Caenorhabditis elegans: one gene and its partner. The protein of the gene in region 1 purifies or fractionates together with the protein of each later gene. This does not show direct contact. Each region holds a gene or a part of one and is shown in the gene's direction. Other genes may lie near its edges.

Evidence for each region. The genes of interacting proteins can lie anywhere in the genome.
Region 2: the proteins of pdi-6 (region 1) and enpl-1 fractionate together in Caenorhabditis elegans (co-fractionation; one large-scale study listed by BioGRID). This does not show direct contact.

The regions. Positions count from the first base shown.
Region 1 is NC_003284.9:7,064,578-7,071,717, reverse strand, and holds pdi-6 (Protein disulfide-isomerase A6 homolog), read left to right. Parts: upstream 1-3,154; 5' UTR 3,155-3,277; coding exon 3,278-3,311; intron 3,312-3,417; coding exon 3,418-3,726; intron 3,727-3,808; exon of another isoform or gene 3,809-3,949; intron 3,950-4,148; coding exon 4,149-4,812; intron 4,813-4,863; coding exon 4,864-5,179; 3' UTR 5,180-5,376; downstream 5,377-7,140. Other genes in the region: B0403.6 (DUF5658 domain-containing protein), read left to right, coding at 34-190. UniProt on the Caenorhabditis elegans protein: May function as a chaperone that inhibits aggregation of misfolded proteins. May negatively regulate the unfolded protein response (UPR) through binding to UPR sensors.
Region 2 is NC_003282.8:11,116,582-11,125,572, forward strand, and holds enpl-1 (Endoplasmin homolog), read left to right. Parts: upstream 1-2,716; 5' UTR 2,717-2,869; coding exon 2,870-2,915; intron 2,916-3,132; coding exon 3,133-3,202; intron 3,203-4,050; coding exon 4,051-5,068; intron 5,069-5,142; coding exon 5,143-5,718; intron 5,719-5,784; coding exon 5,785-6,357; 3' UTR 6,358-6,574; downstream 6,575-8,991. Other genes in the region: imp-2 (Intramembrane protease 2), read right to left, coding at 475-1,002, 1,283-2,092, 2,214-2,282; Meiotic recombination protein spo-11, read right to left, coding at 6,578-6,986, 7,033-7,123, 7,191-7,418, 7,466-7,562, 7,607-7,841, 7,892-8,061, 8,107-8,154. UniProt on the Caenorhabditis elegans protein: Molecular chaperone that functions in the processing and transport of secreted proteins.

The DNA.
Region 1 (7,140 bases):
TGCTTTTCCTCGTAAAACTTTTCCAATTTTCAGAGAAAACGTTCGTCGCTGTTTCACATTTACGGCATACCGTATTTGCATGGTGATTGTCAACATTTGTCATATTCTTGCAATTTATATTGTCATCAAGAACATTATTGCGACAGGATCCGGCGGGAGACAAATTGACGTTAAAGAGCAAAGATTATAGATGTTTTGAAAGTAGATTTTAAAATATTCGTTTTGTAAACCGGTTCCAATTTTTGATTACAGGTTAATTAGTTCTGATTGTACTTGGGTGTGGTGACTTTTTAAACACATCTTTAATAAAATATTTTTTATATAAAAACTATTTTATTGCAACATCTGAACAACAATAAGTCATTCACATAATTTTTGCTGTTAGTGAACGTAGTAATATCGTGAAAATTATCAAAACTTCGATATTTGGTTTTAAAGTTTTTGAACATTCTTATTCTCAATTAAGTTTCTGAAATTAAGTTACCATTAAATTAAATTTGTTTGAAGTTTTTTCTTTTTTTTTCAAATTTTACTCGTCGGCAATTATGTAGTTTTTTTTTCAAAAACCATATATCCTGTTCGTAATTGTGACTATTTTGGTTATGAAAAAGAATGCTTAACAATAGGAGTATGTTTAGTAGTTTACTTTTTGAAAAACGATAGTTCTGCTCTAACCCGTATAAATATATATATATATATATTTATTTATTTATTTATTTATTTATTCAATCAAAAGAAGATAGCGCATGACATAGAGGTAACCAGTGAGAAGGATTGAGTAATAAAATGATCACATAAACCAGACATAGTTAGGGTTATCAAGTTGGGGGAAGAATTAACTCAAGGGGAATAGAATTAAGACGTGTCGAGAATGCTTGACGGCTGAGCGGTTTCAATAGATGTTGAGCCAGTCGGTTCCAGAGTGGCAGGTTCATTAGTAGAAAACTATTGTTGATTGGTACACAGGCACGCATCATGTATGGAAACCGTGGAGAGCGGGACTTCTCGTCGTTTGCCGCCAGCTTCCTACCCAAGGCTTCGCAACTTCTTACCCAAGTCTTGCCCAAAAAATAAAAACATTTATAAGGAGTTGCCAAGACTTGGGTAAACCTTGGGCAAGAGTTGGCGCCGCCTCAAAAATGAAAAAAGTCGTCGACTTGCCTCGTCGTCCCGAGCGTCGCCCAAGTCTTACCCAAGTCTTACCCAAGTTTTGCCTATTTCTTACCCAATTTATACCTGTGTGTTGAACTTTGATCTCATTTCCCGTTGTGCCGAAGTCTTACCTGCTGAGCCATGATGGTCGCGCAAAAAGATGCACACTAGTAATAATATATCGTACTCATATTCTGATAGATATTTTTGAGGAAGTACCAGACATATCTGATTGATACGGTATTCTCACATACCTTGTTTCAGTTGTTTTCAAGTGTGCTCCCTAATGATTCTAAGTTCAGAATTTAGAGAATTACTGTAATTCGTGTTTGTTTCATGTCTCTTAATTTTATAAAAGTTTACATTTCAAAGGAACAGTTCAGTCTTAGAAAAATTCAAAATTTGATGCATAGGATTGACTGACTATTATCTGACTATTGGACTGACTAGGAGAAGAATCTTCCTGAAGATAACTTTTCTTTTTATTTTTAGATAAATTATATGGTTTATTAGATAAAATGGCAATAAAAATCAGACTCTGTTCGTACATTTTCTTTAACAATGTTAGCCATCAAAGAAAAATATTTAGAATTTGCCTTTGAAGGGACAAGTTTTCCTGTGAATTCTTTCAATTACATTGAAATTCCTCTATTGTAAATACAAATTAATCAAAAGACAAAGTGTCGATTTACGCTAAACATTGCGCATGTGGAATTTCGGAATCTTGTTCGTTCTTTACATCTGCAAACTTGGGTAAGAAGTTGGCAAAACTTGGCTAAGGCTTGGGCAGAACTCGGGCGAGGGAGTTTACACTAGAATTGCTGAAGTTGGGTAAGACTTGGGCATACTCTGGGTTAGAAGTTGGCAAGAGTTGGGTAAGAAGCTGAAAAGGCCCAAACTTGGGGAAGAAGCTGTCGGGAATTGCCGAGGAATTCTTTAGTGCTGAGACATCCGGAAAATGGTATTCGCCAGATAAGATGTTGTGGTAGGTCCTTAATATTTGGAGAATTCGCTGGTGTTGAATGGATTTTTGATTTGACTGAGCCAGTCGATCATCGTACGACGTGTTTGAGACATTGCATCGTTGATACACTCTTCTTGAATAGAATTTCAGCGGCATTTCAAGTAGCTTTATCAGACGTTTGGAGTTAGGGTTGTAGACCTCACATCCGTAATTCAGCAGCGGTTGAACGTAAACGTTGTATAACTTAAAGTACAAACTGACATTGGTAAAGCGAAAGCATCGAAGAAGCTGTCTACACTTGAGGAAAGCAGAATTTGATACATATTCGATATGTTTTTGGAAGTTTAGCTTGCAATCCACGAAAATGTCTAGATCGTTGACTGAATACTTTTTAATTATTTGTATTCCATTCGCATGATAATCTGTTCTTGGGTTGCGCTTCCCGAGGTGTATGACATTGGTTTTGTTCTCGGCCAAGTTTAAGTTTCACTTTGCACACCAATCAGTGACGACATTGATCGCTTTTTGCATAGAGTCCGAATTTTCACCGAGTATCTTGATATCGTCGGCAAATGCGTATACAAAAACATCCGTGGGGAACAGTTCCAGTAGGTAATTAATGTAGACAAGGAATAAGAACGGTCCACTGACCGTATCGCAAGATTATTTTGTTGGAAATCTTCAATTAACACCTTTATTCCAAATAACTATTTTTGGCATTGAGAGTGTTACAAGTTTATTTCAAGATAAACAATTTATAAATGTTAGATGTAAAAATATTTTTGAAAACAAGAAAGAACAAACACTGAGGAATTTTATTTTGTCGTGTAATCATCGAAATGTTTTCAGTTATTTCGATAAATTAATAGATTCTGTTAAAAAAACATTTTTTTTATTAAATTTTTCTTTTTAAAACGTCTTCCCTAACCCTCATAGTTTTCTCATTGCATTTCGCAACTCTCCATTTAATGCCTGTGCCGGGGCCGTGGCGAGAACTATTTGCGCAAAGCGCTCTACTGTACGACACGTTGACCAATCAACTGCACACACACGACGCGCAACGTCACACTCCCGCCCTCTGTACACGCATTTGACTCAGTTTGGAATCGCTCCCCATTCTGTACGGTCTCACAGACAAACCAGTGAGATTAGTGGATCGTCATGGCTCTCATCAAGTTGCTCCTCGCATCTTTGGGTAAGTTTTTGTTTTAGAAAATGTGAAGTATTCTTCATTTGGTGTTTTTGATTAGGAAAAAAGAATTTTATACAAAACTAATATTAAATTAATTAAAATTTTGCAGCGATAACTTCGGTATGTGGAATGTACTCAAAAAAGGATGATGTCGTCGAGCTGACCGAGGCCAATTTCCAATCAAAGGTTATCAACTCTGATGATATTTGGATTGTTGAGTTCTATGCTCCATGGTGCGGTCACTGCAAGAGTCTGGTCCCAGAATACAAGAAAGCTGCTTCAGCACTCAAGGGAGTCGCCAAGGTTGGAGCCGTTGATATGACTCAACATCAATCCGTCGGAGGACCATACAATGTTCAAGGATTCCCAACTCTCAAGATCTTCGGAGCCGACAAGAAGAAGCCAACAGACTACAACGGTAAGCAATTATCCAATTTCTTCTTAATAATTTACAAGCGGAAATTTGGATTGGTTGTCGACAAACTTGCACAAAAATAACTGAAAAAGGACAATAGTCACAAGCCGGTACGGCAAACAAAAACTGATTTGTCTCATTTCCACCCTCTCCCCACTCGAACTATTTTCTGTGTGCACTGTCGGTCAGTCAATTGAGCTGGCCGCAACTAGTTGTGTGTTTAGTAACTGTTTGCTCAGATATTATGTTTGGCCGATCCGCTCTATAGATGTGGACGACCTTGCGGCAAAGTAATTGTGCGTACCAGTCTATAGGGTGGAAGATAGGAGAGACGCCGGCCTCTGAGCGATCTGGGTCATTTAGAGCGTGCGTGTGTCTGTGTATGTGTGTAAAAAGACCAAGATGATATTGATTTATTTTTGCAGGACAAAGAACTGCTCAGGCAATCGCTGACTCGGTTCTCGCTGAAGCCAAAAAGGCAGTCTCTGCTCGGCTTGGAGGAAAATCATCAGGAAGCAGCAGCAGTGGATCCGGATCTGGATCTGGAAAGCGTGGAGGAGGTGGATCTGGAAATGAAGTTGTTGAACTTACTGATGCCAACTTCGAGGATCTCGTTCTCAACAGCAAGGATATCTGGCTTGTCGAGTTCTTTGCCCCATGGTGCGGACACTGCAAAAGCCTTGAGCCACAATGGAAGGCCGCCGCTTCTGAACTCAAGGGCAAAGTTCGTCTCGGAGCTCTCGACGCCACTGTTCATACTGTCGTCGCCAACAAGTTCGCCATTCGTGGATTCCCAACCATCAAGTATTTCGCTCCAGGATCTGATGTTTCTGACGCTCAAGACTACGATGGAGGACGTCAATCTTCTGACATCGTTGCCTGGGCTTCAGCTCGTGCTCAAGAAAACATGCCAGCTCCAGAGGTCTTTGAAGGAATCAACCAACAAGTCGTAGAGGATGCATGCAAGGAGAAACAGCTTTGCATTTTTGCCTTCCTCCCACACATTCTTGACTGCCAATCGGAGTGCAGAAACAATTATTTGGCTATGCTCAAGGAGCAATCCGAGAAATTCAAGAAGAACCTTTGGGGGTATGTTTTATATAATTTTACAAAATTTCATTCTAATTTAAATAATTTCAGATGGATTTGGGTTGAAGGAGCCGCTCAGCCAGCTCTTGAGGAGTCCTTCGAAGTTGGAGGTTTTGGATATCCAGCCATGACTGCTTTGAACTTCCGCAAGAACAAGTACGCCGTGCTCAAGGGATCCTTCGGAAAAGATGGAATCCACGAGTTCCTCCGTGATCTCTCGTATGGAAAGGGACGCACTTCTTCCCTTCGAGGAGATGGATTCCCAAAGATTCAGAAGACTGAGAAGTGGGACGGAAAGGACGGAGCCCTTCCAGCTGAAGACGACATCGACTTGTCTGACATTGACCTCGATAAGACCGAGCTTTAAAATCATGAATTTTCTACATACATCGACACCAAAAACTTACTCTCACCATGCAATTTTGTTTTAATTGTAACGGGTGTTCTCACCAGATAACTCGTCTAACTGCGTTACATCCATACATGTTTTGTGACTTTAGCGATTTTTCTCGTATTTATTTATTTTTGTTCTCTGTTTTGTTAAATAAAGTATTTCAGGAAGCTATGGATTATTAAAAGTGAAAATCAAAAATCTTCGGTTGAAGGTTTTCAAATTCTTGATTTTCTTTTTCAATACGGAACTAAGGGTTGAGAAATATTTAATATCGATGTAAGATATATTTTTAATAACTTTCAGCTGCTAGAGCAACTTAATAATTCAAACGTTACCAATTCAATTACTCGGGCACAAAGGGATACAAAACCAAAGAAGCAGAAAACTTGTGCTGGTCAGATCAAATAAGTAAAATTTGGTGATTTTCACCACTATTAGTCAAGAAACAAAGTTATGAACTGATATGTTTAGATTGTTTTTTTTTCTGGTTTATGTTCACATTCAACCACACCATTTGTTCTGAGCTTTTTCAAGGTTACGTGCTCCTAGTTCATATTCATAATTCATATTCATTTTCATTTTCATATTCATATTCAAAAGAGTTGTTTGCGATTTTTTAAAATAAATTTCCGAAATGTTGATTGTTTCAGAATATTTTACAGATTCTTTTTCAAACAAGACGTTTTCAATAAATTCATGATTTACCAATTTTTTTAAACACACGACCAGTGTTTTGAATATTGGGATGCGCTTTTATTTTTAATATTTGATTTTTCAAGGAATTATATGTAGAAAAATACATTTTAAAGTTACAGAAACTTTAGAAAAATTTGTTTTGCTTCACACATTTTTATAACAATTGCTATATTCATTTTAAAAATAGTAGAAGACATTAATAGACTTATGAAAATGTTGATGAGTTTGTTTTTGTACTTTTAGATAATTATTAGAGGTCGCCTTAATGTGACAAATATTGAAATTTATCAAGCAATATCAAATTTCCAATTTAAAACAAGTTTGATTTAATCTGCAATGTTTGAGTTTGTTGTGCTGATTGAAAATAAAATTCCGAGCACAATAATTACTAGAAAAATAAGGTCACAATGGGAAAATAGAAACTCGTTAAAAACAGTTTTAAACTGTTTTCTTAAGCAAAGCTCTTCTATAGTTCTAAATTCAGAAAGCATTTGGATTTCTGGTCACCGAGTAACTGCATATTTGTTTTTTGTTTGTGGCACTTTCTGGAATTTTAATAATTCAGCTGAAAGTATAGACAGACGGATGTTTTCAAGATGTTCTTAGTTCCTTTTTCATTCCATTCGAATTCATGTACAACGAAACATCTCTCTTATCTCGAAACACTAACCTCATACTCTTGTTTGTGTAAATGGTTCTAAGCATCTAAAATGCACTAAAAACTGAAAAAGGGTACCTTAGCTGAACCATCTCATTTGACGACAAGTACATTTTTGTCATATTTCGTTTTCACACATATTTTCTTATCAATTTTTGAAAACCTGCTGATAGTCGCCAACCACTCAAAACAGTGTCGATGGTCGTGAACAATTCTCCGAAAATCGTTAAATGTGGAATTTATCGGTCAATGCCGACAAAGTTCTTTTGATGAAAATGTGGGCGGAGCGTCGGTACAACAGAGTTGAAGCTCTTTGTCGTTTTTTGGAGCTGAATTCGTTGAAATAATAATAATTAGGTCATGTTATCTTATGAAAATAATTCTGATAACGATGGCAGCTGTTTTAGTTTCAAGAGTGATGTGCTGTTGTGCTGTTGTGAAATTCAGCATGCTTTACAATTTCACAGTACTTACTTATTTTTTCGAGCTTCATAACACTTTCCTACTCTTGTTAACCGCTCATTGATATTTGTATTCTTATCCATGACCATTCTAAGTTTATTATTTTGAACTTGAACAC
Region 2 (8,991 bases), on another chromosome or scaffold:
GCTCTTTCGCGGGTGTCATCCCCAAAACTCTTTCACCTTATTATGTTGATATGTTAGCTAATAATGTAACAGGATATTTTGATTTTCTGAATGACATTTGATAGCTACTTCGTTATTGTGGTCTGTATATATTTAAAAAAAGATGAACGTATAAATAAATTCAATGCATTTATAGAATAAGTTACTAAATACATGTAAATAAATATGAAAACAAAATACCTTTTTTGGTTCAAACAGGACAGTAAGGGGGTTGGAAAAGCTAAAAAGACCCGGGAAAACGGAAGATAACAATGGAAAGGACAGGAATCAGAATGATTATGCTAGGATGTGGTGGGACATGGAATCGAGTTGAATTAAATGACTAGAATATCTAGAAATAGTCAAAAGTACGATAAGTTAGGTTTTCCAATTCAAGTATTCTTCGAAAACAGAATAACAAGCAGGAATAGCATACTTTAGACTATTTTAAATCATTTAGTTATTTTTCTTGCCGGAGTCTACTTTCTTTCGATTTTCTTCGTTATCCACATGTCTTGATTCATCGTAGTTCCATAAAGCCGAAAGTTCTCCACGGATCACAGCAAGAAGGAGGGGTACGAAAAGACAACACGGCACCAAATAGAGAAGAGCTGGTTGAGCAGCCTTGAAGTGATGCATAACAGCCATAGTGATGAAAAGTCCAGCCATGTAAGCGACGACAGTAACCACGAAGTAGTATCGTCCTTTCAAGGATCCTTGTGGAGCCTTCGACTCGGCAGTCGTTTGAACAACTCTGTAGTCGAACCGACGAAGGAGAGCAATGAAGATTCCAGGGATAACAATGTCTCCAAGCCCAAGCATACTGTGCTTACTGGCTTCCATTATTCCATTTCGATAGATATCTTGAGGGAATTGGAGCAAAATCGGAGCATCAATTCCTTTTGCGACAGATGTCATCACGTCTGTTCCGAAAACCCAGAAGATGTCATAGAAAAAGAGACCAACGAGAAGAAGGGATCCAGCCTGTAAAAAAAATTAATAATGATATTAATTAGTCTTTTCAATGAAATTTTTTTAAAACCTATTTTTGCAAATAACGGTTTGATATTTAAAAGTTTCTTTTAAACAGCTTTAGGCCAAAATTGAGAACTATTTACTTTGTCCAAATATTTCAAGTTAGTTCAAAAATATATTATTACTATCTGGTCAATTGAAATTATTCTTCCATTCAGTAAGCGTAATTGTAGCTTTTTTGTCTTATTACAAAAATATTGCTATATTTTTTAATAATTGTTAAATTTACCTTGAAACTGGCCAAATGAAGACGTTCGATTCCCAAGATTGAGAAGCTCACTCCGATAATATTATTGGTGATCCAGTGTCTTTTCAGCAGGTGAGAAATGAGAATTGGAGAGCACATCAATAAAGCGATGATATCGTAACGATCAAAGTCAATTTTGAAAAGATATTCCGTTTCCTTTTTCTTCGCATCTTCGATATCACCCTCTTCCATTTCCTTATTTCCCTTTTTGAGAGAGAATAAGTACGGAGCATTGAATCTTAAGAAGGATGGAACCAGTGGCATCTTTTTGAGAAACGCGGTAACAAATGGCTTCAACAGAGACGCGAAAGCGTTGACTCCTTCGAAACAGATGAGGAAAGTCAAGAGTTGCATACATTCTGCTTTTTGAATTGTTGGTAAGTTGGTATAAGCGTATGTAGCCGCATTTTGAATTGCTTCTGGAACGCGTTCTTGAGGTATCCTTGACGCCAAGCGGAGCAAGAATGGCTCGGAAGGCCCAGTAGTCGTAGTATTAGCGGTATAGCTGATAATAGTGCTATTGATCTTCTGGACATATTCTTCGGGAACTCGCAGAATTTGGAAGACTCTGGCAACCCAAAGGAAGCGTTCGGCGGCAGGCTTGAAGAAGAGGTAGAGACCGAAGAGAACCAGAGAAGCAGAAATAGGGAATTTCCTGGCTTCTCTCATAGTGATCGAACCTTCAATAAGTCGCTTCTTGTCAATATTCGTCCTTATGTATTGAGCTGAACGAATCGATCCAATGATGATGCAGAGGATAGACATTCCGTAAAGCGCCAACGAGCTTGTAGCCTGAATGAAAAATTGATTTAAAAAAGTTCGCATGGCTATTTATCACATTTAATAAAAACTTCGTTGTAATTTTATACTTGTCCACTTCATTTATTTTACAAAATTTCAGTAAAAATCTCACCTGTTCTTCGAATGTAAAAACTGTGACATTGCTAGCCGTCGGCGGGATTTCGGTCGCTGCTTCAGCCATGTCGCGAAAGGTTTGAATTCCCAACTGGAAAAACTGAGATTAAGAAATGGAGGTATATTGCCTGATTGAGATGAGAAACCGGTTTATGAGACGGATAAACAAGTAAGTTTGCTGAGTAACGATCACAAATTTCACAAATTCTCAAGACAAGTGAGATGATTAATTTCTATAAGGATTAATTTAGATGATCCGAACATTACTTGAGTGACTGTTATAATAGAAAGACTGAAAAATCGTCTTTTAAATTAACATATTCCATATTGCTGGATCCGGCAAACAAAAACAATGTTCCAGGACACTCACTCCACGTGTTCTGAGCTGTCGTCTCGGTCGTTGATTGGCTGATTCCGCCTCTGTTTGCAACTAGTAACGCGCCGCAGTTTGCAGTTTTCAGTGAAGGACAACGTGTTTGCAAGAGACGCAGACACTGTGCGGCACTTGCAAATTGGGGCGGGACTTTTAGGGACACGTCGAGAAGGGGTGAGCCCCGGCGAAAGAAAGCAAACAAGCGGAGAGAAAAGGGGAGTAATTGACCGTTGGAAAGACACCTCATTCCATTTATTCTCGGTCGTTAGGAAGAGACGGCGATGAGATTCCTTTTGGTGGGCTTCGTCGCCCTTCTGGCTGTTTCAGGTATGTCTTTTTATTGATTTTCAGAGCTTAGTGAGCTTTAAATAGAAAACCGTAGTTTTGAAATTGTAAAAAAAATTTTTAAGCTTAAATGTACGCTGAAAATATTAAAACTGTGTTCACAGAATAAAAACATTAGGCTTTATTTTTTCATTCTGTGCATACACGCCACGCAGTTTTTGAATTCACGTTTTTATTCCCAACAATCATCACTTTTCAGCCTTCATTCCAAATGTCTACGCCGAAGATGAAATCGAAGACGCACCAAAGGAAACCAAAGAAGAAACAAGGTAATTTTTGATAATTTGATTATTATGAAAAATTGCAATTTGAAAAAGTCTAGAGAATTTTGAATTGTGTTTCGTACATTTTTTGAACAATTTCGTGAATATGTCGAAATCAGAATCAATAACCTTGTTAATTTTTAATTAGATCTAATATATCAGAAATATCTTTCGAATTCGTTTTTCGCTCTTAATATTGAATAGTTACAGTTTTAGCTGGATTAAGTGTTCCAAAAAGATAAATCACATTTTCTTCCACTTTCCAAATAAATTGACCTGTCACTACGTGTCTGTTCCTTTTCCTGGTTACTCTGAACTATCTCAATATTTGTCTACCCCCGGCCTCAGCCAAAACTTTTGAACGGTACCAGGTCGCGTCAGTCCACTTGGTGACTCTCATCCGTTTTGCACACTATTTTGTACTCCCGCGGAGCACTATTTGATTGAGTCTTGCCCTTTGTCGGAATGCAAACAGACTCGATCTACTGCTAGGTTATCTTATCTTGTTTGTGTTTCCTTTTTCTCAAATAAGAAAAATCGGCTGAAGGGTCAAGAGAGACTAAAAGGGTTATCTCCGACCTAGATAATTTAACGTATGCTTTCCTAGATTCACGTAATAGCCTGTCAAGGACGGAGATACGAATCACAAGATTTAATCTTCTGCTAATGGAAGGTGTAGTATTAGGGATGCCATACACGGATTAGAAGTGAACGCATTATTTTCTAGGGTTTCTGATAAAATTTTGGAAAATTAAAGATCAAAACTGTACAATTAAAACACAATACAGTTTAAAACAATTTAAAAATATAACTAGTTAACAAAAAAAATTGAAATTGATAAATAATATTTTCAGAGAGGAAGATTCGATCAAGCTCGATGGACTATCTGTCTCCCAGATCAAGGAGCTCCGCTCAAAAGCCGAGAAACACGAATTCCAAGCCGAAGTAAACCGAATGATGAAACTTATTATCAACTCTCTCTACAGAAATAAGGAGATTTTCCTCCGTGAGCTTATTTCTAATGCTTCCGATGCTCTCGACAAAATTCGTCTTCTTTCCCTCACCGATCCAGAGCAACTCCGTGAGACTGAAGAGATGTCTGTTAAAATCAAGGCTGATCGTGAAAACCGCCTTCTTCACATTACCGACACAGGAGTTGGTATGACTCGTCAAGATTTGATCAACAATTTGGGAACTATTGCACGCTCTGGAACTTCAGAATTCTTATCCAAACTTATGGACACTGCCACTTCTTCTGACCAGCAACAAGATCTTATTGGACAATTCGGAGTCGGATTCTACGCTGCCTTCCTTGTTGCCGACCGTGTTGTCGTAACCACCAAGAACAACGATGATGATCAGTACATTTGGGAATCTGATTCAGCTAGCTTCACCATCAGCAAAGACCCACGTGGAAACACATTGAAGCGCGGAACTCAGATTACATTGTACCTCAAGGAGGAGGCAGCAGATTTCTTGGAGCCAGATACCCTCAAGAACTTGGTGCACAAGTATTCCCAATTCATCAACTTTGACATTTTCCTCTGGCAATCCAAAACTGAAATGGTGGAAGAAGCAGTTGAAGAGGAACCAGCCACCACTGAAGACGGAGCTGTTGAAGAAGAGAAGGAAGAAAAGAAAACCAAGAAGGTTGAGAAGACCACCTGGGATTGGGAGAAGGTCAACAACGTTAAACCTATTTGGATGCGCAAACCAAATCAGGTCGAAGAAGACGAATACAAGCAATTCTACAAGAGTATCACCAAGGATTCGGAAGAGCCACTGAGTCACGTGCATTTCAGTGCTGAAGGAGAAGTTTCCTTCAGATCTATCCTCTACGTTCCAAAGAAGTCTCCAAATGACATGTTCCAGGTAAGAATATTGAAAGTTATATAGCATTTGTTTTAATTGCGTTTAGTTATTTTCAACTAATAATGTTATTTCAGAACTACGGAAAAGTTATCGAAAACATCAAATTGTACGTTCGTCGTGTCTTCATCACTGACGATTTTGCCGATATGCTTCCAAAGTATCTTTCCTTCATTCGCGGTATCGTTGATTCAGATGATCTCCCACTCAATGTCTCCCGTGAAAACCTCCAACAGCACAAACTTCTCAAGGTTATCAAGAAGAAACTTGTCCGTAAAGTGCTCGACATGCTCAAGAAACTCGACGGAGCCCAATTCGATGACTTCTGGAGCGAGTTCTCTACCAATATCAAGTTGGGAGTTATGGAGGATCCATCCAACCGTATGCGTCTTGCTAAACTTCTCCGCTTCCAGTCTTCTAATGATGCTGACAAAACAACTACTCTTGCCGCCTATGTCGAAAGAATGAAAGAAAAGCAAGACGCCATTTACTACATGGCTGGAACTTCCAGAAAGGAAGTTGAAACTTCTCCATTCGTAGAGAGACTCATCGCTAAGGGATACGAAGTTTTGTTCCTCACCGAAGCTGTTGATGAGTACTGTATTCAAGCTATGCCAGAATATGAATCAAAGAAGTTCCAAAATGTGGCTAAGGTGAGTATTGAAGGCTTTTTTCTTTAGTGGCTATGATGTTTTACCTATCAACATGCTATTTTTCAGGAAGGAGTTACCATCGATGATGGAGAGAAGGCCAAGGAAGCCCACAAGGGTCTTGAAGAGGAGTTCAAGCCACTTACTGACTGGCTCAAGGAAACTGCACTCAAGGATCTGATCGAGAAAGCAGTTGTTTCTCAACGTCTTGTCAAATCACCATCTGCCCTTGTTGCCTCTTCCTACGGATGGTCTGGAAACATGGAGCGCATTATGAAGTCGCAAGCTTATGCTAAGGCAAAGGATCCAACTCAAGACTTCTATGCTACTCAGAAAAAGACATTCGAGATTAACCCACGCCATCCAGTTATCAAGGAGCTTCTCAAGAGAGTCACTGCTTCTGAAGAAGATACCACCGCTGCTTCTACTGCCAAGCTTCTCTTCGAAACTGCCACTCTTCGTTCTGGATTCTCACTTCAAGATCAAGTTGGTTTTGCTGATAGAATCGAAGCTGTCCTTCGCCAATCGCTCGATGTTTCCCAAGATGCTCAAGTTGAAACCGAACAGCATATTGAAGAGGCTGAACCAGAGCCAGAAGCCGCTGAAGAAACAACGATTGAGGAGGAGCACTCTGAGCTCTAAACAATGTAAAACATCTCCCCATTCCATTAGCTTTATGCACTCGATGATATTGTGATAAGATAAGATAACTTGTGTTGTTTTCTATTTATTTAATGTTGTTTCTCCCCCCACTTCTCAGTCTCAGTACTTCTCGAACACTTTACGGTTCCTTTCCCCTTTTGTGGTTGTAATTGCAATATATTGCATTTGAAACTAAAATAAAATCTGTTTCATATTATTTTCAATCACTATCATTATCTATCATATTCTGGAACTTTTCTTCAGCATCCGAATCTATATAGTCATCGTCTTTTGCTTCCCGATCATCATCTGTCGACAGCGAACATTGTGAATCTTCGTGGTACTCGTTTATAATCGTCTCTGGTTGAATCGGAATTTCTTTTTCTATCGACATGACTCTCGGAGCAATCAAGAATCGAGCCATATACTCCTGTCCGCACATATTTATTGATTCAAGTTCCATTTTAAATTTATTCTGAATCATCCAGTCTAATTCTCGTGTCACCACTATTTCTCCGAGTTGAATCGATCGAGGAATCATCTTCTCAATTTTCACAAAATCAGTTCGAACCAATGGAAGACATTGTGATTGATCGATGGTGAAACGATGAAAATCAGTTGGGAAAAGACTGGAAATTTGTTGAAATTATGAAAATAAATATAAAATCGTCTTACCCGATCCATTCAATCGTTGGAACAAAGGCTCCTCGGCCTTCGGCAAATTCTTTCGTAGGTCCATATTTGTAAGTCAAGTAGATTTCAATACCTTAATTGAATTTAAGTATTACTATTTTTAATATAGTTATTTTTTAAATCCTTTATTAAAAATTCACCATGCGGATCAGCGTCAAACAGTCCGTATATTGGAAATTTTCTTTTTTCACTCAACATTTTCAGAACATTTCGAGTTGCAATATCCGGATATCCTTTCGAAGTTGCTAGAATCCCACGTGGAAACATTGCTTGAAAATTTTCATCCATTAATTTTTGAAAAGTTGTGTCTTTCTCAACAACAAGTATGAAATCGGCTTCTGATATTATATTCGAAAATAACAGTGCATCTGAAACACCAGCGTTGATCATTTTTAAATGTTTTTTATTACCTTACCTGTGATCAAAACTTCTTGAACTCTCGCATCAATTACACCAACATTCTCAACTAAAAAAGTAATTGCTCCACGAATTATCCCGCGTCCACAAGAGAGCTGAAATTTGGAAATTATTTCTTGTTTATTAATGTCACACTGACAATGTTTAAATTAGCCCGACTTTCATTCAAAAGCTCACAAATTGATTTTATTGAACTGTCTAAATATTTCTGGTTTCCATAAACTGCTTTATGTTCATAATACAATTCTCTTTTCGTTGATCTTTTGTCATTTTCGAGCAAATCATAAACTTGGTGAAGACAGTGCAAATCTCTATCCAATTTTCCTTTCCTCTTTGCTGTATAACGAAGGCAAAAATGTGATTTACTAGTCGATCTGAAAAAAAAAACAAAATTACTCAAACATTTTCAACAGGAACTTATTACATTCTCAAAGTCAACGATTTCTCTTTGTTATCCATTTGCCTTTTAATATCTGCAAGAGCGAATTCAATTTTTCTCATAGCTTGTTCCTTCGGTGGTATTACTTCATCGTCAAGAAAACTGTCATCAGAATCATCAGAATCCGAATAAATAGTGGATTGTTGAGATTCTACCTGAAAATTGCAAAATTAGATTTGAATCAGCAATATTAAGCTTACAGATCCGGGCTCATGATCGATATTTGGGTTGAAAGAATATTCATACATGCTTTAAACTAATTAGTAGAACAAAAATACAGATAAAATGGAATAAAACTTTGATAAAACTTGGACGCAAGCTAATAAGGCTCCAGCTGCAAGATACAAAAAGTCAATAATCGAAAGGACCATACGTGAAAATAAAGCACGGGTCCCGCAGCGAATCGGAGTAGTACTGTAATTTTCGTCAGATTTTTAATACTCGGCGCCGACGAGTCTCAATGTTCGATCTTCTTTTCTATATTCTTAAATTGACATTTTTCTTCAAAAAATATTTTAAAATGCATTTCTTAAATATAACTCGGTTTTTCTCAATCCCTGCCGAAAAACCACAGCTTAAATGCAATTTTGAAGCGAATGACTGCACCATTCATTTCGTCGCAGTCGAAGAAGATTTTTATAGAATATAAAATTTATGTATAGTATTCATTTTTTTCTTAAACTAGCATTAAATGTTGTTGCGCTGAAATATTTTTGCTATATTAAATTTCCTTCAAATACTTTATTCAAATAGTCATAATGAAGCTCTGATATGGTCTATATCTACCGTAGTCTTCTTGTATTTTCCACTATTCCTTCTTTTCTTGTCTCTTTTCCCATTCATTTGTCCTCTCCGCCGCAATGGCCCGTTTCCAATGCAGGCAGACATGCAGAGTGTCTGCGTCTCTCCATTTCCAATAGTGTTTCTCCTCACTTTGCCTCTCTGGCCAATCGACGCTCGGCGCGTCCACTGCATACATTCAAACCTTCTTCTTCCCCAGCTGCTTAGTCTAACACACAATTTAGACCATTTTTCATGGATTTTCTCGGTTTTCAGACGAATTTCACGATATCAAGCGATACTAG